7 linked regions of the Coturnix japonica genome follow. The protein of the gene in region 1 interacts with the protein of each later gene in a pairwise test. Links are inferred from orthologs where the notes say so. Each region holds a gene or a part of one and is shown in the gene's direction. Other genes may lie near its edges. The genes, in order: SH2D4A, HMBOX1, GOLGA2, MTUS2, CDR2, PPP1CB and TFIP11.

Evidence for each region.
Region 2: the proteins of SH2D4A (region 1) and HMBOX1 interact in binary tests that used the Homo sapiens proteins (3 or more experiments, as listed by UniProt). The two-hybrid records come from large-scale screens. The link is inferred for Coturnix japonica from reciprocal best matches to the Homo sapiens genes SH2D4A and HMBOX1.
Region 3: the proteins of SH2D4A (region 1) and GOLGA2 interact in binary tests that used the Homo sapiens proteins (3 or more experiments, as listed by UniProt). The two-hybrid records come from large-scale screens. The link is inferred for Coturnix japonica from reciprocal best matches to the Homo sapiens genes SH2D4A and GOLGA2.
Region 4: the proteins of SH2D4A (region 1) and MTUS2 interact in binary tests that used the Homo sapiens proteins (3 or more experiments, as listed by UniProt). The two-hybrid records come from large-scale screens. The link is inferred for Coturnix japonica from reciprocal best matches to the Homo sapiens genes SH2D4A and MTUS2.
Region 5: the proteins of SH2D4A (region 1) and CDR2 interact in binary tests that used the Homo sapiens proteins (3 or more experiments, as listed by UniProt). The two-hybrid records come from large-scale screens. The link is inferred for Coturnix japonica from reciprocal best matches to the Homo sapiens genes SH2D4A and CDR2.
Region 6: the proteins of SH2D4A (region 1) and PPP1CB interact in binary tests that used the Homo sapiens proteins (3 or more experiments, as listed by UniProt). The two-hybrid records come from large-scale screens. The link is inferred for Coturnix japonica from reciprocal best matches to the Homo sapiens genes SH2D4A and PPP1CB.
Region 7: the proteins of SH2D4A (region 1) and TFIP11 interact in binary tests that used the Homo sapiens proteins (3 or more experiments, as listed by UniProt). The two-hybrid records come from large-scale screens. The link is inferred for Coturnix japonica from reciprocal best matches to the Homo sapiens genes SH2D4A and TFIP11.

Annotation. Positions count from the first base shown.
Region 1 is NC_029519.1:30,070,082-30,072,832, forward strand, and holds part of SH2D4A (SH2 domain-containing protein 4A), read left to right. Parts: intron 1-108; coding exon 109-239; intron 240-699; coding exon 700-920; intron 921-2,339; coding exon 2,340-2,432; 3' UTR 2,433-2,751. UniProt on the Homo sapiens protein: Inhibits estrogen-induced cell proliferation by competing with PLCG for binding to ESR1, blocking the effect of estrogen on PLCG and repressing estrogen-induced proliferation. May play a role in T-cell development and function.
Region 2 is NC_029518.1:96,819,285-96,823,364, forward strand, and holds the start of HMBOX1 (homeobox-containing protein 1), read left to right. Parts: upstream 1-1,280; 5' UTR 1,281-1,582; intron 1,583-1,709; exon of another isoform or gene 1,710-1,729; intron 1,730-1,749; exon of another isoform or gene 1,750-1,917; intron 1,918-3,271; exon of another isoform or gene 3,272-3,903; intron 3,904-4,080. Other genes in the region: INTS9 (integrator complex subunit 9), read right to left, coding at 963-971. UniProt on the Homo sapiens protein: Binds directly to 5'-TTAGGG-3' repeats in telomeric DNA. Associates with the telomerase complex at sites of active telomere processing and positively regulates telomere elongation.
Region 3 is NC_029532.1:3,735,658-3,739,612, forward strand, and holds the start of GOLGA2 (golgin subfamily A member 2), read left to right. Parts: upstream 1-1,155; 5' UTR 1,156-1,244; coding exon 1,245-1,508; intron 1,509-2,836; coding exon 2,837-2,959; intron 2,960-3,278; coding exon 3,279-3,359; intron 3,360-3,955. Other genes in the region: DNA repair protein SWI5 homolog, read right to left, coding at 1-91, 795-901, 956-967. UniProt on the Homo sapiens protein: Peripheral membrane component of the cis-Golgi stack that acts as a membrane skeleton that maintains the structure of the Golgi apparatus, and as a vesicle thether that facilitates vesicle fusion to the Golgi membrane.
Region 4 is NC_029516.1:157,080,212-157,083,711, reverse strand, and holds part of MTUS2 (microtubule-associated tumor suppressor candidate 2), read left to right. Parts: intron 1-1,353; 5' UTR 1,354-1,657; coding exon 1,658-3,500. UniProt on the Homo sapiens protein: Binds microtubules. Together with MAPRE1 may target the microtubule depolymerase KIF2C to the plus-end of microtubules. May regulate the dynamics of microtubules at their growing distal tip.
Region 5 is NC_029529.1:8,355,824-8,359,323, reverse strand, and holds part of CDR2 (cerebellar degeneration-related protein 2), read left to right. Parts: intron 1-1,064; coding exon 1,065-1,213; intron 1,214-1,442; coding exon 1,443-1,607; intron 1,608-2,734; coding exon 2,735-3,500.
Region 6 is NC_029518.1:24,323,243-24,327,205, reverse strand, and holds the start of PPP1CB (serine/threonine-protein phosphatase PP1-beta catalytic subunit), read left to right. Parts: upstream 1-1,163; 5' UTR 1,164-1,431; coding exon 1,432-1,483; intron 1,484-3,963. UniProt on the Homo sapiens protein: Protein phosphatase that associates with over 200 regulatory proteins to form highly specific holoenzymes which dephosphorylate hundreds of biological targets.
Region 7 is NC_029530.1:6,260,357-6,263,687, reverse strand, and holds the end of TFIP11 (tuftelin-interacting protein 11), read left to right. Parts: intron 1-144; coding exon 145-388; intron 389-722; coding exon 723-865; intron 866-1,023; coding exon 1,024-1,189; intron 1,190-1,491; coding exon 1,492-1,847; 3' UTR 1,848-2,463; coding exon of another isoform or gene 2,464-2,688; 3' UTR 2,689-2,831; downstream 2,832-3,331. Other genes in the region: SRRD (SRR1-like protein), read right to left, coding at 2,464-2,688, 2,925-2,970, 3,121-3,275. UniProt on the Homo sapiens protein: Involved in pre-mRNA splicing, specifically in spliceosome disassembly during late-stage splicing events. Intron turnover seems to proceed through reactions in two lariat-intron associated complexes termed Intron Large (IL) and Intron Small (IS).

The DNA of each region.
Region 1 (2,751 bases):
GCCTTCTATTTAGCATTGTTCCTATCACGCTGAACAAAAAGCAATTCTTGCCAGGATCCAAAAGCTGTCATTTGAACTTGATCCACAGATCACTGTCTTTTGTAACAGGAAAGAAGGAATCCAGAGGACAATCTCCAGTTCAGCTGAAGAAAGCATCATCAGGTGGTTCAAAGAAGAGCAATTCCCCCTTCGAGCTGGCTATCAAAAAAACACAGACACAATAGCACCTTGGTTTCATGGTGAGTCCTGAGCACTTTCGCCCCAACTCAACCTTTTAAGGAGTTGTTTCTACTACAACTACAGGGCTGCTACAACAGACTGCTCCCAGGAACTTTTTGAAGGTAGCTAGCAACATTTTCTATTTTTAATATGTACAAGAGTATGAATTTCTCTAATTGTGACAAAGTTCAAGCTAAAGTCTTGGAGTGGAAGCCAGATCTTGACTTCGCATAGCTAGCTGATAAGCCTAATATTCTGGATGTAGAACAGTTAGCACAAAGCACAGTTAGCATGACACCATGGTCTGCTACCAGCAATGGCAGTACCTTTCTTGTAATAGTGGGCCAGAAAACAAGCAGGGAATAGAAGCACTGTGAATTACTTTTAGAATGGTAAAAAAGGGTTTATTGGGAGAATTGCTCCATCTGCTCCTGCACAAATGCTTTTCTCACTTCAGTTCTGTGTTGTGGCTTTGAACAGGTATCCTAACCTCTAGAAAAGCAGAGGAGCTTCTGAGTAAAACAGTGCCGGGGAGTTTTCTGGTCCGTGTCAGTGAGAAAATCAAAGGCTACGTGCTTTCCTATCAGTCTGCAGAGGGATGTAAACACTTCCTTATTGATGCCTCCAGCGATTCCTACAGCTTCCTTGGAGTGGACCAGCTACAACATTCAACACTGGCTGACCTTGTTGACTACCACAAGGTGAAGTTCCAGCAATTAACTCATTAACTACCGTTTATGTATTTGCCTCAAAGCACTTCAAAATAAGAAGCATCAGATTCAGTTGTTATAATGTAGTTAACTAGTCCCATTTTAGCTACTACTGGGTATTATATGTGCCATTCCAGAAGGGTATGTGAGACCAGTGGGGACACCCACATACATCTCAGATGTCTTAGACCTTAACTGCTCCCCCTCAAGCAGGCAGAACACCTTGTATGGGGCTCAATCACATTATTTAGCAGAACTGCTGATAAGGCAATAGATGAAAGCATTCAGACTTTTTATGATTTTCTCAGTGGTTGTGGGGTCCCAGCAAGTTCAATAAATTGAAAATAGTTCACCTCCAGCTTCAGAAAGAAAGAGAACAAGGTATATTTATAATTTCAAAACAGACAAGGTATGATATGGAGCAAGGGTAGCAAATAATGGAAGGGAAGGAAGAAGGCTGTCAAGTCCTTACAACAGTAACGCCAAGTGTTTGCTAGCACCGACTGCAGTTGCATAGGCTCCAAGTAAGAGCCTAGCATAATTTAGACACGATTAACCAAAACTGGTAGGTGAAAAAATATCTACACTCATTTGCTATGTGAAAATCTATCTGGGCTTCTTCAACCTGCTTCTTATGTAGGTTTCACAGTCCAGGTTGAACCTGTTGGAAGCAGGAGCTAGACAACTTACTGGCACCAGAGCTGGAAGATTTAAAGCCTGGCTGTAGATATCTGTATTAAAGATAGAGTCACACCCACAGTCTGCAAAGAATCCTACGGACTCTATTGCACTACAGCAGATGTATGTGGGAGCAGGGCAAACCTACCCAGATAACATGCTCCAGTGGGTTCTATTCGTCACCCACTGGATGACCACAAAAAAAAGGCAAATTCCCACCATGTATCTGCTGCTGAGATTGAGAACAGGATGGGAAACAGAAACAGTTTCCAGGGAATTCTCATTAGAAACAGGCTTGCCAAAGCAGAAGGCACATGTTCACTGCAGGGTCCAGTCCCATCCCTCTCACAAACACAACTCCCACTTGTGGGCACCCCACCTGTGCTAGTGCAAATGCAGCAAGCTTGCAGTCCCACTAACTTGCATGCCACACAATCCTTACTCCAGAAATTCCTAGGCAGGACAGCATTTCACACTGTAGAAGCTGCTTACAAGACAAGCACAGCTATTTCCAAGACCTACCAGAATCATGTCACTGGATTACTATAACAAGCACACTTTCTTGAAGGCAGAAGCCAGCCATGCAGATCTGCATCCTGAATTCCCAGGGCTCTGAGACATATCACACAGTGAGACTAATAGGTCCACACAGTCATGGAGTGGCAATATATTGTGATATTCCAGGTAAACTGACCTGTTTGAAAAGTGTTTAATTGCATTTTCTGTCAACAGGATGAACCCATCACCTCTATGGGAAAGGAGCTGTTGCTTTATCCATGTGGTCAAGAGGACCATGAACCAGATTACATCTCCCTTTTCGAGTGAGCCTCCCAGTCTCATTACGTAGCACCATGCCGTTTTCACCAAGATTGGATTTCAAACTGGAAGCTACTGATGCTTACCTGAAACTTGCCATAAGTGCCTCTATTTCAAATCCTTCACAACAAAGCAGTGGGAGAATAAGTGCTGTCACAGGCTTGTTGTCTCAACAGAGAGAAAGGATGCACCAGCCCCGCAAGCTACAAAACACCCAGATACACCATGCATGTTGTTCTGGATTAGACATTGAAGAATCAGTTGAACAGAGATTTTGCAGATTTCCTCAGGGATACCTGTGTTCAAGCTGGGTTTTGCTCTTGAATGC
Region 2 (4,080 bases), on another chromosome or scaffold:
AGGCGTGTAATAATCACAGACTGACCCGGGTTGGAAGGGACCTCAAGGATCATGTAGTTCACCCCCCTGCCTAGCAGGGCCACCAAACACTACACATTTACTAGTATCAGGTTGCCAAGAGACCCCATAGGACCCATAGGACCCCATAGACCCCATAGAGACCCCATAGATCAGGTTGCCCATGGCCCCATCCAACCTGGCCTTGAAACACCTCCAAGGACGGGGCATCCACAACCTCCCTGGGCAGCCTGTTTCCAGGGCCTAACCACTCTCCTAGTGAATAACACAGTGCTGTGTCCTCAGCTACGTGTATTAACACTAAAGCAGCAGCTATTTCCACACCGAACCATTGGGGATGCTCCTATGGGACAGCCCCATGTGCTATGGGCCCAAACCCACTGCCTGCCCCTCACCCAACCCCCGAGGGTGATCCCAGCGCAGAGAACACCACCCAGCTCCCCCCATAGCCCCTAGTAGCCCCCCCATACATCCCAATAGCCTCCCATAGCCCCCAACAGCCTCCCATAGCCACCAGCAGCCCCCATAGCCCCCAGTAGCCTCCCATGGCCCCCCAGTAGCCTCCCATGGCCCCCAGTAGCCTCCATGGCCCCCAAATACATCCCAATAGCCTCCCATAGCCCCAATAGCCCTCCATAGCCTCCCATGCCCCCAATAGCCCCCAATAGCCCCCAATAGCCTCCAATAGCCCCCAATAGGCCCCAATAGCCTCCAATAGGCCCCAATAGCCTCCAGCAGCCCTCCACACACCCCAATAGCCTCCCATAGCCCCCAATAGCCTCCCATGGCCCCCCACAGCCCCCCATACACCCCAATAGCCCCCATAGACCCCAATAGCCCCCAAAGACCCCAATAGCCCCCAATAGACCCCAATAGCCTCCAACAGCCCCCCATGGCCCTATAGACCCCCCACGGCCCCCAATGGCCCCATAGCCCCCACTCACCAGCTTCATGCTGCCCGGCTCTATTTACAGGCACAATCCTGCCCCCCCACTTCCGGCTCGCTCCCCCTTCCCGCCGCAAAGCATCACGGGATTTGTAGTCCCCCCGTGATGACGTCATGCCGCCCCCCTCCATATCACCTTGCCGTCCCGTTGCATGCTGGGAGCCGTAGTCCGCGCTCCGCTTCGCCCCGCGCTCCCGTGGTGGCGCCGCGCCGCACGGCACGCTGGGAATTGTAGTCCGTGAGCCGCGGCGCTCCCCGTCACCCTGGGGAGGGGGGAACTACAAGTCCCAGGGTCTCACAGCTGCAGCAGGTGGGAGCTCGGATGTTGATATCAACATGGCGCTTGTCAGACAGACAAAGACAGTCGGTCTGGTGTGAGCGAGCCGGGAGGGGGGGGGGGGAGAAATAAAAACCACCACCACAAAAAAATAAAGCCCAACAGAGAGAAAAGGAGCCGAGGGGGCAGAGAGGGGAGGGGGGGGCTGTTATCCTCGGGGGGCTCCGGCAGCACAGCGCTATTGTTGTCCACGTTCATCTCCCCTCATTGCAGGGGGGGGGTCCCCGGCGGGGGCGGCCCGTTCAATGGTGAAGCGGAGGAACCGCCGGCACCGGGAGTGAGTGAGTGGGGGTGAGGGGGGGAACGGGGGCGGGCGGGTGGGTGGGCTGCCAGGAGGGAGGGTGGGAGGGAGGGTGGGTGGGAGGGGGAAGGGCCCCCCCGGCTGTGTCTGAGCCTGGGAGGGATTCGAGGCGTGAGGAGATCCGAGGGTGCGTGAGGAGGGGGACGGAAGGGTGCCCCCGGATAACAGGGAGATCGCTCTGCTGCTGCTGCTGCTGCTGCTTCGGCTTTTTATTCTGTTTTGTGTTTTCACCCCTTCATCCCCCCTCTTCACCCCCCCATCCACTCCCGGGTGTGGGGAGGACGAAGTCGCGGCGGCGGAGTCCCCTCAGGTTGGGTGGGTGCTGGTTCTTTCGTTTATTTCTTTATTCTTCTTTATTTTTCCGCTTGTTTCGGTGCTGGGACCGCGAACCCCGAGCGGAGCTGGGGGGGGCCCCCCTCCCTCATCCCTCTTTCCCCCTTCCCTCCCCATACCCCCCCCATATCTCTCAGCCCTTTATCCCCCTCTTTTCTCCTCATTCCTTTCCGGGATCCGACCCTTGAGGGAGCGATCACTCATTCCGGGGTGAACCCAACTGTTTTCCTACGGTTATGTGGGGGGGAAAAGGGCATTCCGCCTCCCCCCCCCGAGCTGTGCCGCTGCCGGGGCTTTGCGGGAGGGCGAAGGCGTCGAACCGAAGGGATTCGTTTGTGCGGGATGGGGTGAAGGAGCCGGCGACAAATCGGTCCTAAAACGTGTGAGGAGGGTTTGGGCGGGGTGTCAGCCGCTTGTTTATTCCCTACTTCACGGGGAGAGAAGCTGCGACGCTTCTCTGTCTGTGCCCGGGTTCGTTCGGGGGACCCTCATGCCCCCTTGAGAGCCCGGCATGGCAGGGGATGCTGCCCACCCACCCTGCCCCGCTTCTGGGCTGACCCTACCCGAGTTCGGTGCTGTTTATCAGCTCAGATCGCACATATGAAGCAGGTTGGGCTGAGTTCTTCCACCTCTGGTGGGTTTTTCAGTTGTTTTGCGAAGTACTTCTTTGGAATGTCGTGTTTTTTGTTGTGGTTTTTATTTTACCCTTTTCGGTGGGTCTGAAAAAAGCTGTGGGTGTTCGGTGATGTGCAGGGGTCAAAATGCTTCTTTGGGGGGGGTGGGGAGGGAAGAAGGAAGAGGAAAATCAAGGCTGTAAGCAGACAGCGGAGTGGGGTGTAGCTTAATTTGTTCTCATTGGGACTAGAGATAAGTGGCTTTAAGTACAGCACAGCACGTGAGCTGGAGCTGGGAAGGTTGAAACTTTGTAGGGAGGAAAGTGTTAACGTGACAGCCAGGGCTTGGCGGTGTGGGAGCGGATCTGCTGGATGCCCCTGATCCAACTATATAGGGATGGAGGGGAAGGAAACTGGGGGGGAAAACTACAATTTGCCTGTAAGACAGCACGTAAATACAGGGAAGGGGAAACTGGTGGGGAAAGGCTTGGTGCTGTAGTGCCTGCTTGCATCCCAGCTCATTGCTGCAGGGTTCATCAGGTACATTGCTTTCTTCCTGGGATGGTGTGGCTGCTATTTGATTTCTTCCCTGGATGGGAGAGGAGGAGTCCTGTGCAGTTCTTTTCCCCGAGCTGATTGCATTTGCTTTGGCCTTGCTGTACCCTACCTCATTAGTAGGAACTGCATCTATATTTATTTACCATTACATCGGGTCCCTCGGGATGCTGGGTGTAGTTTGGAGTAGGTATATATGGATTTATCGCTCTCAATATGTTTTTTTCCTCTTGTCATGCTACGGCCAAATCGTTTGAGAACAGGGAACGAACTTCATTTCTTTCTGTGTTTCGCATCAACCTTTTTGCCATTTCTCTTCCGAATCGTTAAGAAAACATTTCTGAGGCACAGGTGGGGGAGGAGAGATGGGAGATAGCAGTGCAGGGATGTGTTTGTTAGCTGCCTATTCTGAGACCTCTGAGTGGTGCTTGATGCTATATCAGCTAACGGGGGTTTGGGATTGTTTTTTCCCACCTATGTGAAGATTATTCCTTAGCCCCATGACCGCCACAACTTTTCTGTATGGTTGATGGGATTGTCTGACGAGCCTGGGCGTGAGATGAGGAACAAGGGAGGAACGGAGGAGGAACAAGGAACTTGTGTCTCGTTCAGCTCTGCCTCGTTCTTCCTCCTATCGTTCCTTCAGCACAGCGCAGGCACCCGAACAGCCATCAGCATTTTTACTCCTGTGTCATCCAACTCTGTTCAGAGCAGGTCTAGACGACATTGTGCTATGCAGACTGCCAGCTGTGTTACAGGAATGCTACCAGAGGTGAAACGGCAGGTTATTTAAAGAATGGTAAGGAAACCTTCAAGGAAATACTGCGTGGATGAGGCCTGCTTATCTCTAGAACTACTTTATTAAGCGGTCTTGAGCAATTCTTTTCTATTTTATTGACCTTTCTAGAAAACACGCATCCCTCCAGTGCTGCGATACGGTAATTCAACAGAACTAGGAGCAGTGTCTGCTGCACAA
Region 3 (3,955 bases), on another chromosome or scaffold:
TTTGCCCAGCAGCATCTGCCCAGCATCTTTAATTTCATTATACTCATGGAGCAGAGAGATGTGCTTCTCCAATTCCTCCACATTGTACCCTCTGTAACAAAGCCACACAACAAAACCACTGCGGAACAAAGCAATATCTGAGGTGTGCAGAGCCAGCCTGGTCAAACCCATCATTGTTTAGAGCAATGATTTTGGGTTGGATAGCAGGAAAAACGCCTTTCTCAGAGTGGTGGGGCATTGTACAGCACAGGGATGGAGGAGCCCCTATCACTGCAGGTGTTCTAGAGCCATGGGGACGTGGAACAGAGGGACGTGGAATAGAGGGATGTGGAATAGAGGGACGTGGAATAGAGGGACGTGGAATAGAGGGACGTGGAATAGAGGGACGTGGAATAGAGGGACGTGGAATAGAGGGACGTGGAATAGAGGGACGTGGCAGTGGGCACAGGGTGGGGATCAGAGCTCTTTATCAGCCTTCATGTCTCTATGATTAACCCCCACCACCTCATTCAAACCAAGTGTCCATGGCCTCACACAGACCAAGGGAAACGCTCATCCAGGCAGCTGGGCAGCGGCCTCAGCTTGAGATCTCAGCTTATATACATCAGCAGCTCTGTTAGCACAACGTGTGCTGCCATCAGCTATAGAAACACACCCGTTACTTCCCAATGTACATCAGCAGGGGAGCTCAGAGCCTGACCAACACAGCACTGGGGAAACAACGGGGAAGGAGCTCCCTGCTGCCGTGCATGGATCCCATAACCCTTAGGATGGCCGCGGTACCGGGGCTGTACCGGGACAATAACGGGGCCGTAACGGGGCTGTAACGGGGCCGTACTCGGACAGCAGCTCCGCGATCTCCCGGTCCAGAGCTCGCTCCTTCTCTTTCAGTTCTTCGATACTATCGCACGATGCTCCGCCCGTTGTGCGGGATGGGGCCGGGCGCTGCGGGGACACGGCGCGTCATGGCGGTTATTGAACGGCACCGAGAGGAGCCGGGGGAACGGGACGGGATGGGACGGGATGGGCGGCTCACCGGGGATCTGAAACCGGCACCACCGCTCCGCCGGGAACCGCCGAGAGCCCTGAAACAGCGCGGGGAGCCCCGAGTCAGCACATAGAACCGAACCGAACAGAACCGACCCGTTCCGCTCCTACCTGCGCTGCGGGGGCGGCGCGTTGCGCCCCGAACCGGGACCGCTCTGCTCCGCCAGGGCCGCGGCCTGCACCGGCAGCACGGCACGATGGGAACCGGAACGCGGGGCTGCGATCATCCGCCGTGGGCGGGCACTGAGCGGGGCGGGACCGGCCGCCATTCACGGCCCAGACCGGGCGGAGGGGCCCGGCCGAGCCCAGGCCGCGGGGTGGGGCGGGTGTCGGGGCGGGTGTCGGGGCGGAGCTCTGCCCGAGCACAGCGCCGCTCCACCCGGCGGCTGACGTGGCCCGGGAGCGGGGCGGACATGGCGGACGGCAGCAGGCAGAGCAAGTTGGCGGCGGCCAAGAAGAAGGTGAGGGCGGGGGGTTGTGCTGGGCCGTGTTGTGCTGTGTGGGGCCGTGCTGTGCTATGTGGGGCCGTGTTGTGCTGTGTGGGGCCGTGTTGTGCTATGTGGGGCCGTGTTGTGCTGTGTGGGGCCGTGTTGTGCTGTGTGGGGCCGTGTTGTGCTGTGTGGGGCCGTGTTGTGCTATGTGGGGCCGTGTTGTGCCGTGTTGTGCCGTGCCCGTAGCGTTGCGGTGAGGCCCGGCCCGGTCCCGCAGCTCCTTGTCGCCCCGGTGGGGCCGGGCCTGTGTTGCTGCACTGCTGCGTTCTGTGTGTGCCGCTCTTTCCCGTTCGGGTTTCCTCTCCATCTCCCTCTTTTCTTCTCCTTTTTCCCTCCTTTCTTTTCCCCTTTCTCTTCCCTTTTTACCTTCTCACAGCTCGGCCCGCTCCGTCCCATCGCGATGCCCTCCCGTGTCAAAGTCAAACGAATGGGAAAGTGCCCCGGAGCAGCTCGGGCTCCATTTTGAAATCCTGCCGAGGATCCTTTTCGTTCCGGTGCTTTTCACCTTGACGTTTAAGCTCAGCCCCGCGTTCCATGGGCGCTCACAGCCCCGAGCTGCGGCCATTTGTGCTGCTCTGAGCTTCTCCTGGGCACAACGGCCTCCAATTGAGCATCCATCGCAGTGTGCTCATCCCCGCAGTGCTGGCAGTTTAGGGGGAAGTTCTTCACTAGGAGAGTGGTGAGGCCCTGGAACAGGCTGCCCAGGGAGGTTGTGGATGCCCCGTCCTTGGAGGTGTTCAAGGCCAGGTTGGACGGGGCCCTGGGCAACCTGATCTAGTAAATGTGTATGTTTGGTGGCCCTGCCAGGCAGGGGGTTGGAACTACATGATCCTTGAGGTCCCTTCCAACCCGGGTCATTCTGTGATTCTGTGCCTGTATCAGTGTGTTACCTGCAGGGCTGTCGTTCTCCTAAAGCTCTTTCAACATTCTTGTTCCATCTTATTATCAGACTCCACTTTTCCAGTTTGCATCCCATGTTATCGTTCTTTTTCCCTCGTTGCTGTTGGTTACAGATTTACAAACGTTGCTTCTTGCAGCATCAAGTTGTTTCCTGGGCACTTCCTTAGTTGGACAGCACTGACAGCTCTCGGTCTGTCACAAACCCATCACTCTCATTCTCCCTTTTGGAGCCTTTGAACTATTTTTAACGTATATCCATCTTTAAGGCCGGTTTCTCTTGTCCTTACAGCTCAGCTGACTCCTTACCCACTGGTTATGTTGTCATTTTCTTGTTGCCATTCCCTTCACAGAGGACATCTTCCATTTGGACTTCACATTAATCTTTTCTTTCCCCGCAGCTGAAGGAGTATCAGCAGAAGAACAGCCCTGGAGCGACTGCGGGAGCCAAGAAGAAACGAAAGAGTAAAGAAGGAAGTCGGCCTGAGACTCCCACAAACGACGGCCGACAGTCTCCAGAGAACGTGAGCGTCCCCCCCTTCCTCCCACGTATCCCCTCTGCCTCCAGCTTTGGTTTCCCAAACAGCACAACTGCAGCTGGGGGAGGGTTAAACAGTGTAATGTGAGCGGCTGAGGAGCCCCTGTTAGCAGCCTGTGAGTCAGGGTGTGTGCTGGAGCAGTGCTGGAGCGTTCAGAGCTGTAACGCAACCCTGGATGCACCCCGAGCTGCCTCTCCTCGGGGGCTGGGCGATGCCCGTTTCTTTGGCTGCCTTTGATGGACGTTTTTCTCTCTGTCCTTTTCTGAGCCGTTTCTCTTTTCCCCTTCTCTTTCGCCTCCTTTAGATTCAGAACATTCTGAAGGTGCTGGTGTCAGACCTTAACCGCTCCAATGGGGTAGCCATACCCTCATTGGACAGAAGGAAGGTGAGGCAGTGCTCCGTGTCCCTCTCACTGACTCGCTGTCCCCTCTGCATGCTTAACTTATGTTTTACACTGTGAATTCAGATGGAGCCTTGTTCTGGCATGTCTGCTGTTTTTATTAACACGGGGCTGTTTGTTAACATGCGTTTCCATCGCTTGTAAGTGCTTGTTTCCTCCTGTTTTCTGTCAAAAAATGCAAATATGTCACCCATGTCCAGTGCACGTCCCTCAGACAGCCGAGCTGGAAGGCAGAAAGGAGCAAACAGAGTTTGGGGTGAGGCAGTAAACCAAGTTAACTGCTGAGAGACGCTGTGTTAGGGAGGAGTAGTGCTTTATTCATGTGTATTTCTCCTGGTCTGTGTTGTTTTATTCACTTCAGTGCTGTGCTCCTGAAGGGCGAGTTTCTGCTCATGCCTGCCCTGAGCAAGCCTTTAGTTATTCCAGCCGCCCCATTTTATGACAGGTGATGAAACCTGCACAGGTGATGTACAGTCTGGCAAGTACCACAGTTCTAAATGTGCTTAGGCAGGAAGTCGGGTATTTCAAGTACTGCATTTACAGGCTTGAGTGTCTTCCCTCACTCCTGGGGGAGGAAGGGC
Region 4 (3,500 bases), on another chromosome or scaffold:
GTCAGGTCTGAGATATCTGAGGCACAGTGAGGACATAAGGTGAAGATGGTCACCTAATGCGTGGGAATGAGGAAAAGACAGAAGCATTTAATAGTGTGGGGTTTTTTGCCTTAGTTTGTAATATTAATGCTACCCAGTCGTTGAGTTGAAGAATCATGACTGGGGGAATAAAACTTTCCATTCACCAAAATAAATTGCAAGTATCAGCTTATCATTCATCAGTCCACGGGCCTGATGGATTCACTTCATAGTACTGAGGGAGCCAGCAGATGTTACAGCTGGATCCCTCCCAACAACTTACCAAAGGTCTTGGGAGTCTGGGGAGGTCCCTGCCAGCTGGCTGCTAGCCACCATCATACCCTCCTACAAGAAGGGCATGAGAGAAGACCCAGATAATTGTCAAATTACTAATGCAGGACTTTTCCTTTGAGCCCACACTGACTGTGCCTGGTAATTGGTAATTTGATATAATTCTATGTATTATAACATCACTGCTGAGTGGATGAAGGGGATCTGATTGCATCAGTGGATGTAATCTTTCTGGACTTTAGTAAGGCTTTGATGCCATCTCTCACAGCATCCTTCTGAACAGACTGTCCAGCTGTGAGATGAACAGGATCTTGTTGTGCTGAGAGATGAACTGGCTGCAGCTCAAAGTGCTGCAGTGAATGGAGCTGCATCTGGCTGGAAGCTGCCACTGGCAGTGTTCCCCAGGCTCAGTTCCAGGGCCAGTTCTGCTCAACATCTTAATTGGTGATCTGGATGTATCCTTAGCAATTTTCCTGATAGTACTAAACTGGGAGATGCTGCTGAGTCCCTGGCTGGAGAGCAGCTCAGCAGAAGGGATCCACATCCCTGTGCAGGTGACAGCAGCTCAGCATGAGTCAGAGCACAAGCAGAGCAGTGACTTGTGCAGCACAAAGGAAGAAACCCACCAATGCCCCCTAATAGAGCTGGAATTTTAATACTTAATCTTGTCTCTACAGTAGTGCTTTAAAAACTTCAGTAGCATTTCTTGGTGCAGTAAAGGTCAATATCTTATAGCAGTATGAAAGTGCTCAGAGCCTTGATGTGGGGTTCTGTCCTTAGCTGCTTACAGCAATCAACAGTTTTAAATCTATGTGTCAGTAGCAACTTGCCTTCTAACCAGGACAGTTTTAACTATGTCTTCTCAAGTCAGAGATCTGGGCTACATTAGGAAGCTCTGCTGAGGGCAAAGCTGTGGCTGAAAGAGAATCTGAACTGTCCGAAAGCTCTCCATTTTGGAAAATTTGCCACTTTTAACCTTATTTTTAGTTAGTATAACTCATGATATTCATGTAACGTAGTCTATTTTTTTTTGTTTTCTCATAGGTTGGCTGGATTAACTGGCTGTCATTCAGAGGGAACTTGACAGATCTATTTTGCTTTCGTTGAACCTCTCTACTGCATTCATAAGGATTTCCTGGATCCAGAAGCTGCACTGGAGGCAACTGAGCAGCACAAAAATGTGACTTTGACAAGAGACTCCGAGCCTTCTGCTGAGGAATTTCTTACTGATCAGTTTGTAATTTAAGCCTAAAACTGAAGCACGCATAATAGTTTGTTAATCTGATAGGGGACAAAGGCTTTCTCATTACCTAGGGCTGCCAAAAAGGCAGTCACTGGAAGCTTCAGAATGAGTGCTCCATTAGTCCCAAACAAATCATGTTATTCCCAGCTTCAGGACAATCGCAGTGAGATAAAAAATAATAATGAAAGCACAGTGAGCGTGGGGGATAGCAATGCCAACCAAATCATGACAAAGATTAGAACCACGGAGGGGGAAATCAAGAAACAGGGTTTGACAGATGAAGGTGGAAATGTACACTCTGGAGGATCGGAGAGAGTTACTTGTCTGGATACAGAACAGAATAAACTGGTGCTCAGAGACTCTCGGACCTGTAACACTGGTATACAAGAAAGTAAGCTGCCTTCAACCACAAGCAGGGAAATAGGGAAGGACAGCAGGGCCAGTGAAGTTAAGGATATAGCAAGGCATATCAGGATGAGCCGAGGACAAAGTCTGTCCAGTTTAAAAAGCAGCACAAATGATGCTAACCTGGAGATCATTTCTAAAGGTGATGTTGACTTCACCCAGAATTTTCCTAAGGGTAAAATGTCCAGGACTGTGGAGATGGAAAGAATAAAAAGGCTCTCTTTGGGCAGACCCAGTAAATTTTCTCCTCAATCTGAAACACTTACAAAAGAATGTGTTGGCCGTGTGTCTTGTAAACGTCTGCTTTCCGCATCATTGGATTCCATTGACAGGTCGCACCATTTGATTGGAAATACAGAGAAATCACAAAAAACTTCCACAGATCATTTTCTTGGGATGGTGTTTCATCCACTCGACAATACCTCAGAGGAAAATACTGTCTTTTATTCCAAACCATCTACCTCAGGGAACAAGAAAATAAGTAAACCAGAAAACGTACCAAATGTTAACACCGAAAGCACACTGCATACTTCTCATACCCATCATCATTCAGCTGTTAAGCCCAGTGAGATTGCTAGTAAATCAGAAGCACAATTAAGTCAGGGTGATAAAAGTAAGAAGCTGGAGCTTAAGGCTGTGACATCCCTACAATCTAAAAACACATGTCAACAAAAGACTGAGAGAATTATGGTGGTAGAGTTTCTGGGATGTAAAAAAGATGGAAGTACAACAGTAAAAGAACAGAAGGAGTCTGGCTCTGACGCATCAACATTTCAAACATCCCATTTTCAAGACATCTGTGATAAAGCAGAGGATCCTGTGTCAAATCAGGTTGTAACCTCTTCTGATGACAGACTGCAAAGTGATAACTTCACCATCCACGGGGAAGGAAGAGAAGGACATGACAGTGACAGTGGGGCAGCTACCCAGCTTAGTGAGGAAGACAGAGAAGTGGAAACAATATTCCCACTCACCTGTGATGGTAATTCCAGTAGCAAAGTGACACCTATTAAAAACAAAAATTTACATGAAGATGATGCAGGCTGTGCTGAAACAGTTGGTGAACAGGTATCTCACATACAAAATGTGTATCTTCCTGATAGCAAACCCTTGCAAGTTAATGAGGATAAACTGATGCTGGTCGAAGGAAGCACTGAGGAAGCTGCCTTGCCTGCTTCTGATCTCTCTGAGCATGACAGAGTGTGCAGCACAGAGACAGTGTCAAACCAACAGCCTGACGACCATGTCAGTGACGTGGAAACCTTCGTGGTTCCAAGTAAAAAGACAATCCCTGCCCAGAAACATCCTCCAGATGAAGCACAAGAGAGCTATAAGGTTTCGGCAAAGGCTGACACTTTTTTATGTGTTCCAACTCATATGCGCCCGGTGGCAGTGCTGGATGTTAACAGTCAGCCCACACTATCAAACAGTAATTTGAAGGACCTATATGCACTTCCCATTGACAAACTGTCACCCTCCTCAGTCCTACCTCATGCTGACAGTACGCAGATGATGAACATATCCCCCAAAGTGCCTATGAAGA
Region 5 (3,500 bases), on another chromosome or scaffold:
TAACTGTGTGTACGGAGATGTAGTTCTGCTCAGAAGTCCAACAGGTGCTCATATGTTTAGTATGTAGTAACACAGAATTTATTTTATGGCGTTAATTCTACGTAACAAATAAGTATTCAATAGTTTAGGGGTTGGGGGGTTTGTTATCAAGTCTGTTTATTATAAATTTTTGTTCTTTTTTTCTTTTTTTTGAAGCTGGCTCAGTGCTGCCCTAGCTGGGACGATATAAGGCACTTGTACTGAGAGTCTTAGGTGATGGTTAACTTTCTGAAATAATCCTAGACACTTAGCAGGTTATTTTGTTAACCATAAAAGTAAAGGGAATTAAAATGAGATCACTTTGTGTGGAGTTGTATTTAAAAAAACAAAACAAAGTGCAGGAGACTTTTTCAGCATTATAATGACTGAAATAGTTCCCTGTAGGTAATTAAAGACTGAATCCAATAGCTTGGTTCTACTTCCTGACACATAGGAGTCTGCAGAATCTCAGGTGTGACCACATCCTAAAATGTGTTTTGCTGAACCTAACGCTGATTCAAACATAGACAAGCAGAAAAACAATCAGGGTAGTGCTACCCAATACTTCAGTTTAAATGCTGAGAAAATTATTGGGTCAACATTATTACAAAATTTATGATGTAGTTCAGTGCAACTTTTAGAAGGACTCTGTGAAGAACTGTGTTGAAATCCAGGTTTGTGGCTGAGTTGGTGATGACTGCAGCACAGACAAACCCAATCCAGATGGGTTTGTGGTAGCACTGGCAATAGTTTAACTGCAGCAAGGATGGCTAAACAGATAAACACAGTTTGCACGAACCAACCCAACTCATGTGGGTAAAGGACTGGTTGATCAGCCTTTGCTGACCTCCATGACAAAGGCAAGAGAAGTAGCTAAGCTACTGATTGCACCTTTTCAACTGGGCAGTAACCAAAGCAACCACTGGAACCTGTACGTTTCTAAATCACAGCAATCATAGCAGGTATTTAATGTGAACAAAACTGCAGAATAGTAGCCCTATCCTGTGTTTCTAGTATAGACTTGTAACAGCAATGCTGTCTTGCAGTATCTCACAAAGCAAGTGGAGCTCTTGCGTCAAATGAATGATCAACATGCAAAAGTTTATGAACAGCTGGATGTGACAGCAAGAGAACTAGAAGACACTAATCAAAAACTAGTTGCAGAGAGCAGAGCGTCACAACAAAAGATACTAAGGTAACAAACCTAAGCTAGATCCTCTTTTCTCCCCTCTACTCAACTGATACATGCAGCTTTTTGGTGGCTGTTTGTCTAGCATTGTTCTACAACACTCTTAAACTGAAAGTTTTATTTAAAGGTGATTTGTGGCCAAAGAGCTTCAGAGAAGCTGGAATGGGGAGGGATGGGAACTAATCTGTCCTGGATTAAACTGTCAAGTGTTTTAACATCAGTCCTTCACTTTTAGCTTGACAGAGACTATTGAAAATCTGCAGACACACATAGATGACCTGCAGAGGCAAGTAGAAGAACTGAAAAAGTCTGGACGAGGCCGGATGAACCATGAGAGATCTGACCAGCCAAGATCAATGCACAGCTTCTCTTGTTTGAAGGAGCTATATGACCTTCGCCAGTAAGACTCTTACCTTGCATAGCAAACAGATTATTGAAATTATTTTGAGCAATGTTTCAAAAACTAGATACAAGCACAGATGTTTAACAGGGTAGCAGAAAAGCATTTTAAGTTTGCAACTAGAAAAACACCTGCACAGCTGTGCAGTGTGTGGTGTTGTCATGCTTCTGGTGTGCTCTGGCTGCGGACTGTATTGATCTTTGTGGGAGAGGAACAGTATGTTCTACTTTCTATCTTGACAGGTTCTCCCCCAAAGTCTCCAGCTGTATGAAACTGTGTCCTAGAAAGCCTTCAAGAATGTGAACCTCCCTCTTTTCAGTTAGATAAAGCACAAACACAGATAGCTACAAAGTAAATTATCCTAAACAATATTTTCTGTAACTTACTTTTTCCTTGGACATCTGTAGGCACCTTCTTCTCAAGGTGAGCTTGCTGCAGTAGCTTTGCAGAATTTAAGCTGGTAAAATGTTGCCTGAAGCTTTAGGCTGCTTTCTAATGTAGAGCAGTTCTACCCAGCTGAACCACATTGTATGCCCATCAGGAGTCACCCGGGGTATGGTCCCAATCTGTCTTCACTGCTAGAAGCTAATAGAGGAAGTGAAGTACTTCTGCAGACAGGGAGAACAGGATTTGTGTTTAGGCTTCCAGCACTGTGCAAGTAAGACTGAGCAATTAACAACCTATGCAAGCAAGGAATTACTTGATGACAATTCAAAAGATAAATGGGTTACTTCAAACTGTGAAAGGTTTGTGGGATTGCCGCTCTACAGAACTGCTTTGTTCATTCTGAAGCTTGTTTCCACAATCAGGGGTGACACAAGTTAAGAGATGTGGTAGAAATCTGAAAGTCAGGGAGTATCACATAATATGTGAAGGCAGTATTTAAAAAACTTAAATTATAGATCTCATTATTCAGTAAACTTATCTGTAATTTGAGATTGTTAAAGAGCTGCCATCCTGCTTGAGCTGAGAGGCTTGATGGCACATGAAGTATCTACAGGCTCCAATCATGCTATGTATTCTTTCAGATCTGTTAACATAAACTGTCATTAGTTACCAATGACAGGAAAACTTCAGGTGCAATCAGCTCTATTTCCTATTAGTAATCCTTGCTTCTGTCTCCTCAGGTATTTTGTTTATGATCACGTGTTTGCAGAAAAGATTACTTCAATGGATAGTCAGCTAAGTCCTCTGGAAGAAGAAAATGAGAACTTGAAGAAGGCAGTTACGGTTCTGCAAGCCCAGCTCAACCTAGAAAAAGAGAAGAGGGTAACGATGGAGGAGGAATATAGTCTTGTGGTGAAAGAAAACTGCGACCTTGAACAGAGGCTTGTTGATATTGACTTGTATCGGGCTCGTGCAGAGGAGTTAGAAGTGGAAGTAGCTGAAATGCGACAGATGCTTAAATCTGAAAACACACTCCACAATGCGGAGAAATTGGTGCCAGAATCCTTTTTCATTTCATTTAAGGAATCTTTAGAAAGGGAGCTTGGTCAGAGCCCAGCTGATGACGGGCTTCTGGCTGTCCCTGAACTTGACAAAAAGGCACTGAAGCGGAGCAGCAGTGAAAATTTCCTGAGCAGTGCTGCAGGGGGAGACATTCTAAGGGGCCACGAAGAAACGTGTATCAGGAGAGCTGAAGCTGTGAAGCAGCGGGGAATCTCTGTACTCAATGAAGTCGATGCTCAGTATAATGCTCTGAAAGTGAAATATGAGGAACTTTTGAAGAAGTGTCAAATAGATGAAGATTCTTTGAAACACAAGGCTGTACAAACACTGAAGCAGTATTCTAAAGACAGTGTGGGAAATAACCAGTATGAGTTTTCAGCTAATAATCAAGAATTTATGAATGCAGGAGAATCGCTCAGCTCCACAAATACTCTTCCTGAATAT
Region 6 (3,963 bases), on another chromosome or scaffold:
AAAAGTGTCCTAAGGTGATGCATGGTAGGATCTGCTTGTTTTTCTGTGACTGCTTCTGGATATAAGGTTTTGCAACCAACTAGTGATAATTAATCAGCAGTATTTGTCTATTTTGAGAGCACTTGGATGTGGTTTCTTGCTCAAAAATCAAGACCCGTGAGTGTTTTAGAAGCAAGGTGTCCTCAGAAAACATGTGCCTGTGCTGACTGGGGTCACTAACTCCCATTTCAAGTCAGCAATTGAAAAAGGCCATTGAGGCAGCTTTGCTTCCATGCAGGGAAAATATGCTCCTGATTACAGGATGGAAAATCAACTATAGGCCATGCAGCTTTTCCCACCTACACAGCAATGGTAGTCAGTCTCCACAAGGGTGATACATGTCAGATATAAGCTGTGGCGAGTGGATAGCTGTCAAATATTGCCACGTGTTTTCATTCAGGTGACTGAGGACAGACCAAGAAGGACAATACAGCTGGATCTATGGTTTCTGAAAGCAACTTTAACCGTGTTGAAGTCAATACGTAAAGTACTTGATTGCTGACCCTATGTAAGGCAACCAGGAAAGAGTAGGCAATATTGTCAGGACAGGGCTCTGTAACTGGGACACAACCGTCTCAGTAGCACAGTAAGGACTTAGAGAATAATACTTACTAACTCATCATTTTTTGCCACCTTATTTGGAAATCTCTGTTGTTTGATTCTTATACATTTAGTGCTGAATTAAAGGATATCATGAGACAGCATGTGGGTAAGGAAAGATGTCACACAGGGTATTTATGGTAAATGGCACTGAGACCAACGTTAGCAGCAAAGCCCTGTTTGTGGACATAAGAGGAAATTTCCAAATAACCAAAAGGAAGTTTAGAAAGATGAGTATTATTAATGAGAGTTTGCCACAGGCAAATCAGCAACGTCCTGCTTCTGCTACTTAAATAACGAGTTAGCTATCTTTGGTCTCCATGTGTGTATGCTGTAATGTCAGAAGTCACTGAGCAGCTCCCCTTGATCAAAGACAACGCACGCAGTCCACGTTAAATACTTCATGTTCTACGATAATATATAATTACGCCTCAATGTGGTGACTGGAAGCCGCTCCAGACCGGAGCTACAACACCGCGCATGCGCCACGCCACCCGCCGCTCCTTCAGCGCATGCGCGGCGGCGGCTGCTGAGGCGGGGAGGAGGCGCGGGTAGACGAGGCGGCCGCTTGCTCCCATTTAGCGGCGAGGGAGCAACGGGAGCGAGTTCGGCCGGGCTGCGCTGCTCTGTGACGCCGGGCGGCCGGAGGGCACTGCCCGCGGGGGGCGGGGGGAGCCGTCTGCGCCGCGGCCGCCGTTGCTGTTGCCTGCTCCTCCTCCTCCTGCTGCTGCTCGGCGGAGCGCCCTCCACCCCGCCCTCTCCCCGCCCGGGACCGAGTGTGGTGGCCACAAAATGGCGGATGGGGAGCTGAACGTGGACAGCCTCATCACCCGGCTGCTGGAAGGTGAGCGCCGAGCCGGGCCGAGCCGACCCGCGGGACAGCGGGGGGCGCCGGCGGGAGGCGGGCGGGCGGGGCGCGGCGGGAGACGGGGCGGCCCCTCCGTCGGAGCCGGGGGGCGCCTGGGGGGCTCGGGGCTCCTCGGGGTGTTCCACGGCCGGACCGGGCCTCTCGCAGCTCCTCGCAGCGAACAGGGGACGCTGCGGGGGTACCTGGGAGGGGGGAGCCCCGCCGCCTTTAAAGCAGCGGAGGAGCCGTTCCCGCCGCCGCAGCTGCCCTCTGGGGGAAGGCTCGGCTGAGAGCTGGGGGCCGGCTGGGTCAGTCGTAGCTTCCCGGGTCTGAAACGCGTTGGGGAGCGGCGTTAGGTGAGGGGTTGTGTGGGAGCGGCCCTGTGCCTGTGCTCTGTGCAGAGCTGCTCAGGGCTGCAGTGTGTTTTGTGCGGGTTTCCCTCAAAATGAGAAGGGAAGGTGAATCCGTCTTTCCGGATAAACTGCGATAGTGATATTAGCGTTTTCTTGTAAGTTGTCTCTAGTGCTGGGTCTCCGCAGGCCTCTCCTCACGTAGCTCATCCATCCCGCACGCAGCCCGTGCCCGCTGTGCTGTACGCGGATACGAGCTCTTCACTCGCCACAAATGGAGATGGGAGCCTCGGGTATTTAAATCGCTTTGCAGAAGGCTTATATAAAGAAATGTATGGAGTACGTACTGTCCTGGAATGGAAACGAGTCTCCTAAGCGTGAAAATTCTTTATAGCCAAGTTACTGCCAAGCAGAGTTTGTAGGGCTCTCAGTTTTTAATTGTAATTGCTCTCCTTTTGGGAGGTGAAACTATAAATTAAAAGCAATAAAACCAGTGTTTTAAAAAACACGAAGGCGCTGGGAGGTTGTACTCGTGTTTGTGTTTCAGGATACACAGTGTAGTGTAGTATGGAAAGAACCTGCAGCTGTTATCAGTCAGAGTTTATCTCTGATCACTACTCCAGATAAACTCCCCATTTTCTGCGTGTTGGAACCCAGATTAGTAGGTAGGCGTAAGGCAAGCGAAGCAGTAACCTACTAAACATTGACTTCTTCTTGTACTTTTATTTTTGACCTTCGTAAGGTGTGTGGTGTGTGTACGTATGGCGTTGTGATTTTTTGGTTGCTTTCTTTGGTCTTATTTATGGAAAGAGGCTCTTAAATAAAGGAAAATGAGAAGTACTTTTCCTCTCTGCCCATCTGCTTGTTGCTTGCAGACGGATTTCTGTTGTAAGGTGATCAAGACCTTTAAAGTACTTACTTGTTTCCTTCTGTATATACCATAAATACTTGTGTTGCAACTCTCTAGCACTTGGGGTTATAATTGGCTGTACTGAGACCAAGCAACCTTATCTATGCTTTTCATTCCATGGCAGTTTAATTTCTAACCATATGTATATGCAATTTCAGAAATAAGTTTTTGTGATGGTTTAGCATCTGTTTGTCAGCCAGTTTAATCTCTTAGAGCGGAGATCAGGAAGATTCTTCATGAAAACAGGGTAATTTTGTTGACTATAACAATGAGGAAATGTGGCTTTTGGGCTGTTAAACCAAAAACTGCATTACCATAATCAATAGTATTTGTAATGTAATGTTGGTGTGCTGTAGGCCTGTGGTCCTTTTGGTTACTCGAGGCGAAGTGGGTAGTGTTCAGTTTCAGCAGCAGTCTGCAGTTGTCTGAGGCTGCACATCAATTTTAAAGGCAGTAAGTGCGTATCAAAAGCTGTGGCCTCAACCTTCCCTAGTGACCTTGGCCTCCTGCTTTGTGACACCTGTTCCTGGCTGTGAGGCTCTCTAGCCTGTGTTCTTAATTACGTTTCTCGTAGCTGTTTTCACTACGATTGCTCAAGACCACTTGTCTTGTGGATTATATAACACCTTAAACTTGCCTTTTGATTGCAGTAGATCATCTTACCCTGCATGTGATTCTTCTTGTTTGAGACGTCAGAATGAGGCGGCCTGTGGCTGGGCTGCTTGCGAGTTTTCCTCAAGGACAAAGTACTGACACTCAGCAGATGTGCCTGCATGCATGGTTACTCTGAACATGTACATGGGATCCTTAGAGTGCTTGGAGTGTTTTGCTCTGAGTTAAATTGGGGATATAGTTTTCAGGAAGGCTCAGCTGAGCCATAGTCTAATGCTTGATGATAGTTTCCCAGGACGTTGGTTTATTTCCATGTTCTTGCATATACTGAATACTAATCCTTTTTATTGCTGAATTCGCTGCTGGTTTAATGAATGGTAAGAGCTTGTTTTGCGGTGACTGTTAAAATATGTCTGGTACTTGCTTACTTGTTAGAGATGGTGCTTCTAGATTGATTGATTTGGGGGGTACTTTTGGCTGATTACATGATAAATTTTGATACAGAAATAGCTCATGAAAGCTTCTGCAAACATTAAAAGTCATTCAACCATAGTTCTTTAGCTTTGCTGAAACACTTTGCAGCTGATGGGGGACCACAGAAATGA
Region 7 (3,331 bases), on another chromosome or scaffold:
CACTGTTTGAATTGTAATCAACTGCAGCTTCCGCAATACCAGCTTGTTGCCTTTGTCAGTGTATTTTGGGTTTAGGGGGTTATCTGCATCTGGGAAGACTTTGTGCCAATAGAAAATTAAACCTCTTTTGTGTTTTGCCTTAAGGTTGAAAACTGGAATCCTTTGACAGACACAGTCCCAATCCATTCCTGGATCCATCCCTGGCTTCCCCTGATGCAGGCACGATTGGAACCACTTTATTCTCCCATCAGAAACAAGCTGGCGAACGCGCTGCAGAAATGGCATCCCAGTGACTCCTCAGCCAAACTTATCCTTCAGCCGTGGAAGGATGTGTTCACACCCGGGTCATGGGAGGCTTTCATGGTCAAAAACATTGTGCCTAAACTTGGTGAGACAACGGAGAGGCATTTTTAATTCTTTTGCTAATGTGAATGCTTTCACTATGAGATTTGCCGTGCAATCTTCATTTAGCCGTGCAATCTGGCTGTAAGGCTCTGATCCAGAAAAGAAGGAAAAAAGCTGAATGTCTTAAGTTTCTCAGTTTTGGCTGTAAATTGTAATTGAGGGAAATGGAATTGCACTGTTTTGGTGGCAGGGATCAGCCAAACATTTTAAAGATTCTGGAAGTAATACGGTGCAATAATCACATATACCTCATTGTGAGATGGGTTGGGGCACTGGTAAGTCAGGTACTCCTTTAACTGTTCTTCTCCTCTTTCCAGGGATGTGTTTGAATGAACTCATCATAAACCCTCATCAGCAGCACATGGATGCCTTCTACTGGGTGATTGACTGGGAAGGAATGATTTCTGTCTCCAGTCTTGTTGGGTTGCTGGAGAAACACTTCTTCCCAAAATGGCTGCAGGTGAGGAACAGGGCTGAATTGTTTCTGACAGTTGTGATTCCAAGTGAAGTGTTTCAGTAACTCTGACCTAATAATTGTTGCTCCGCTGAGTCATAAACAAGCTAATTTACTTCCCTGAATGTACCTATCCTGTTGAATTTGTTCATGTTGTTTTGCAGGTGCTGTGCTCTTGGCTTAGTAATAGCCCCAATTACGAAGAGATCACAAAGTGGTACTTGGGCTGGAAGTCCATGTTCTCAGACCAAGTGTTGGCACATCCATCCATCAAAGACAAATTCAATGAAGCTCTTGATATCATGAACCGGGCTGTCTCTTCCAGTGTTGGTAGGTGGCTTATTGTGATGTATTCACTCTGGACCTTTGTCAGTGTAGCATTTTTTCCTGTGCATGCTCAGATTTAGTTTGGGACTACATCAGGTCCTGTATCTTTAGCTACAGCTCTCTGATTCATCTATGTAGTCTTTGTATTAACAGTAACACTGTGAATGCAAGCAATGTAAATGTATGGAGGATGATTCTGAACACTACAGCTCAGCCTCGCTGAATCTAGCACTGTATGCATCTTGGACTGGAGCTTCCCCACATAAACCTTACATGTGATTTTCACACTTTTTTCTCCCCAACAGGTGGCTACATGCAGCCAGGTGCCCGGGAGAACATTGCATACCTTACTCACACAGAAAGGAGGAAAGACTTTCAGTATGAAGCCATGCAGGAACGGCGAGAGGCCGAGAACATGGCTCAACGAGGCATAGGCATGGCAGCCAGCTCTGTGCCAATGAATTTTAAGGACCTAATTCAGACGAAAGCAGAGGAACACAACATTGTTTTCATGCCCGTGATCGGAAAGCGACACGAAGGGAAACAGTTATATACGTTTGGACGGATTGTGATTTACATTGACAGAGGTGTTGTATTTGTACAAGGAGAAAAGACCTGGGTGCCAACCTCTCTCCAGAGTCTCATTGACATGGCCAAGTGAGGCTCCTGCTTGAAACTGTGAAGGTGATCTTAGTAATGTTTTTCCATGTAACCGTCTTAGAATAAAGACGTTACAGATTTGCAAACAGTGGAACTGCAGCTGGATGCCAGGATTGTTTTCTTGGCTGTTGCAACAGTGTCAAGAGGTGAAATGATACGTAGAAGCTAATGCAAAGGGAGGAAGGGGGAGGAGCAAGCAGTTCCAATGCTTGTGTAATGGCCACTTGTGATACAGATTCAGCAATAATTGTCTCAAACCACTAAACAAGTGAGGGCAGGGCCAACAGTAGATCAGCCTCAAACGCTCCACCAACAGATTTTGCAGCTCTACTTGACAGCGGCAGTGCCCTGGCAGTGGTAATTACTGTCTCAATGGTGTACTCCCACAGCTAACCCGACACTTGCCTCAGCTGCTTAATCAGAGGTTCAGGCTGTGATGACCAGTTTCCCATACAGTGAGTGTAAGTCAAAGTGGAGCTTTTACTTTTATTAAAAAATCACTATGATACAAAAATGTCCCATCTAGCTCAGTGTTCAGGTGCTGCTTTTGGCAGCAGTGCTGTCAGTGCTTGAGTGTCACCTTGGCTGTGCAGGAGGACCGAGGGAAGAGGCAGAACTTAGGCCTGCACTGGAGCAGGGCTGTGCTGGCTCCCTTCCTCCCCCTTCCTGATGATCTCCAAGTCATCACATTCCTCATAAGTCGGCTCCTCCAGGAACTCCCAAGCTTCAGCTGAGAGTCTCTCCAGTTTATATGCAGGGAACCAGTGGATGGAGGTGTCGTTAAAGGTATCCAAGTACCGCGGATGAGCAGGGAGGGCAACTTCCTCCACCCCTTTTAAAACCTAAAGAGCATTTGGAAAAACACAGAGCAAAAGAACTTCTGTGCAAGTTTATGTGAAAGATGGGAGTGTTGTGTTAACTGTGCCCCTCTTTGCAACGTGTTCTGAAGATAATAAAATGGTCCCAAGGCTTTAAAAACAACCACCTTCAGCTTTAAAGTTGTGATTAATGTTGCTTCTCACAATAAGGTGCTGGGTAAATGCAAATAGTGGTGTTGTGTTTAAAAGGTGCTTCTTACCTTTGCAATGTAAGTGTAATCTCTCTCCAATACTCTTGATGGCAGCCTATAAAAAAGAAGAGGTAAATTAGGACCATGAAATTGCCATGAAAACAACTTTTCTCAATGGAAAAGGGAAGAAGAGGCTGCAGCTGTGACAGAAAGAAAGCAAGGAGTGGACAGCAATGTTGGAAATGGGTTGTAGGGCTGTACCTACCTCTCCTCGATGCCCTTAAAGCTGTTGCCAATGATGACCATGTTGGACAGGGCGCCAACAGACCAGTTCTTCCACAGCAGGTTGTTGTACAATGCTTTGCCGCAGTGCACCATATAGAACAGCGTGGGAGACCCATTTATACTGTGCTTTCCCTCCTGGTGGGGGGATAGTATGGTCACAGTGTGGACACAGCTTGGTAACATGGGGTTAG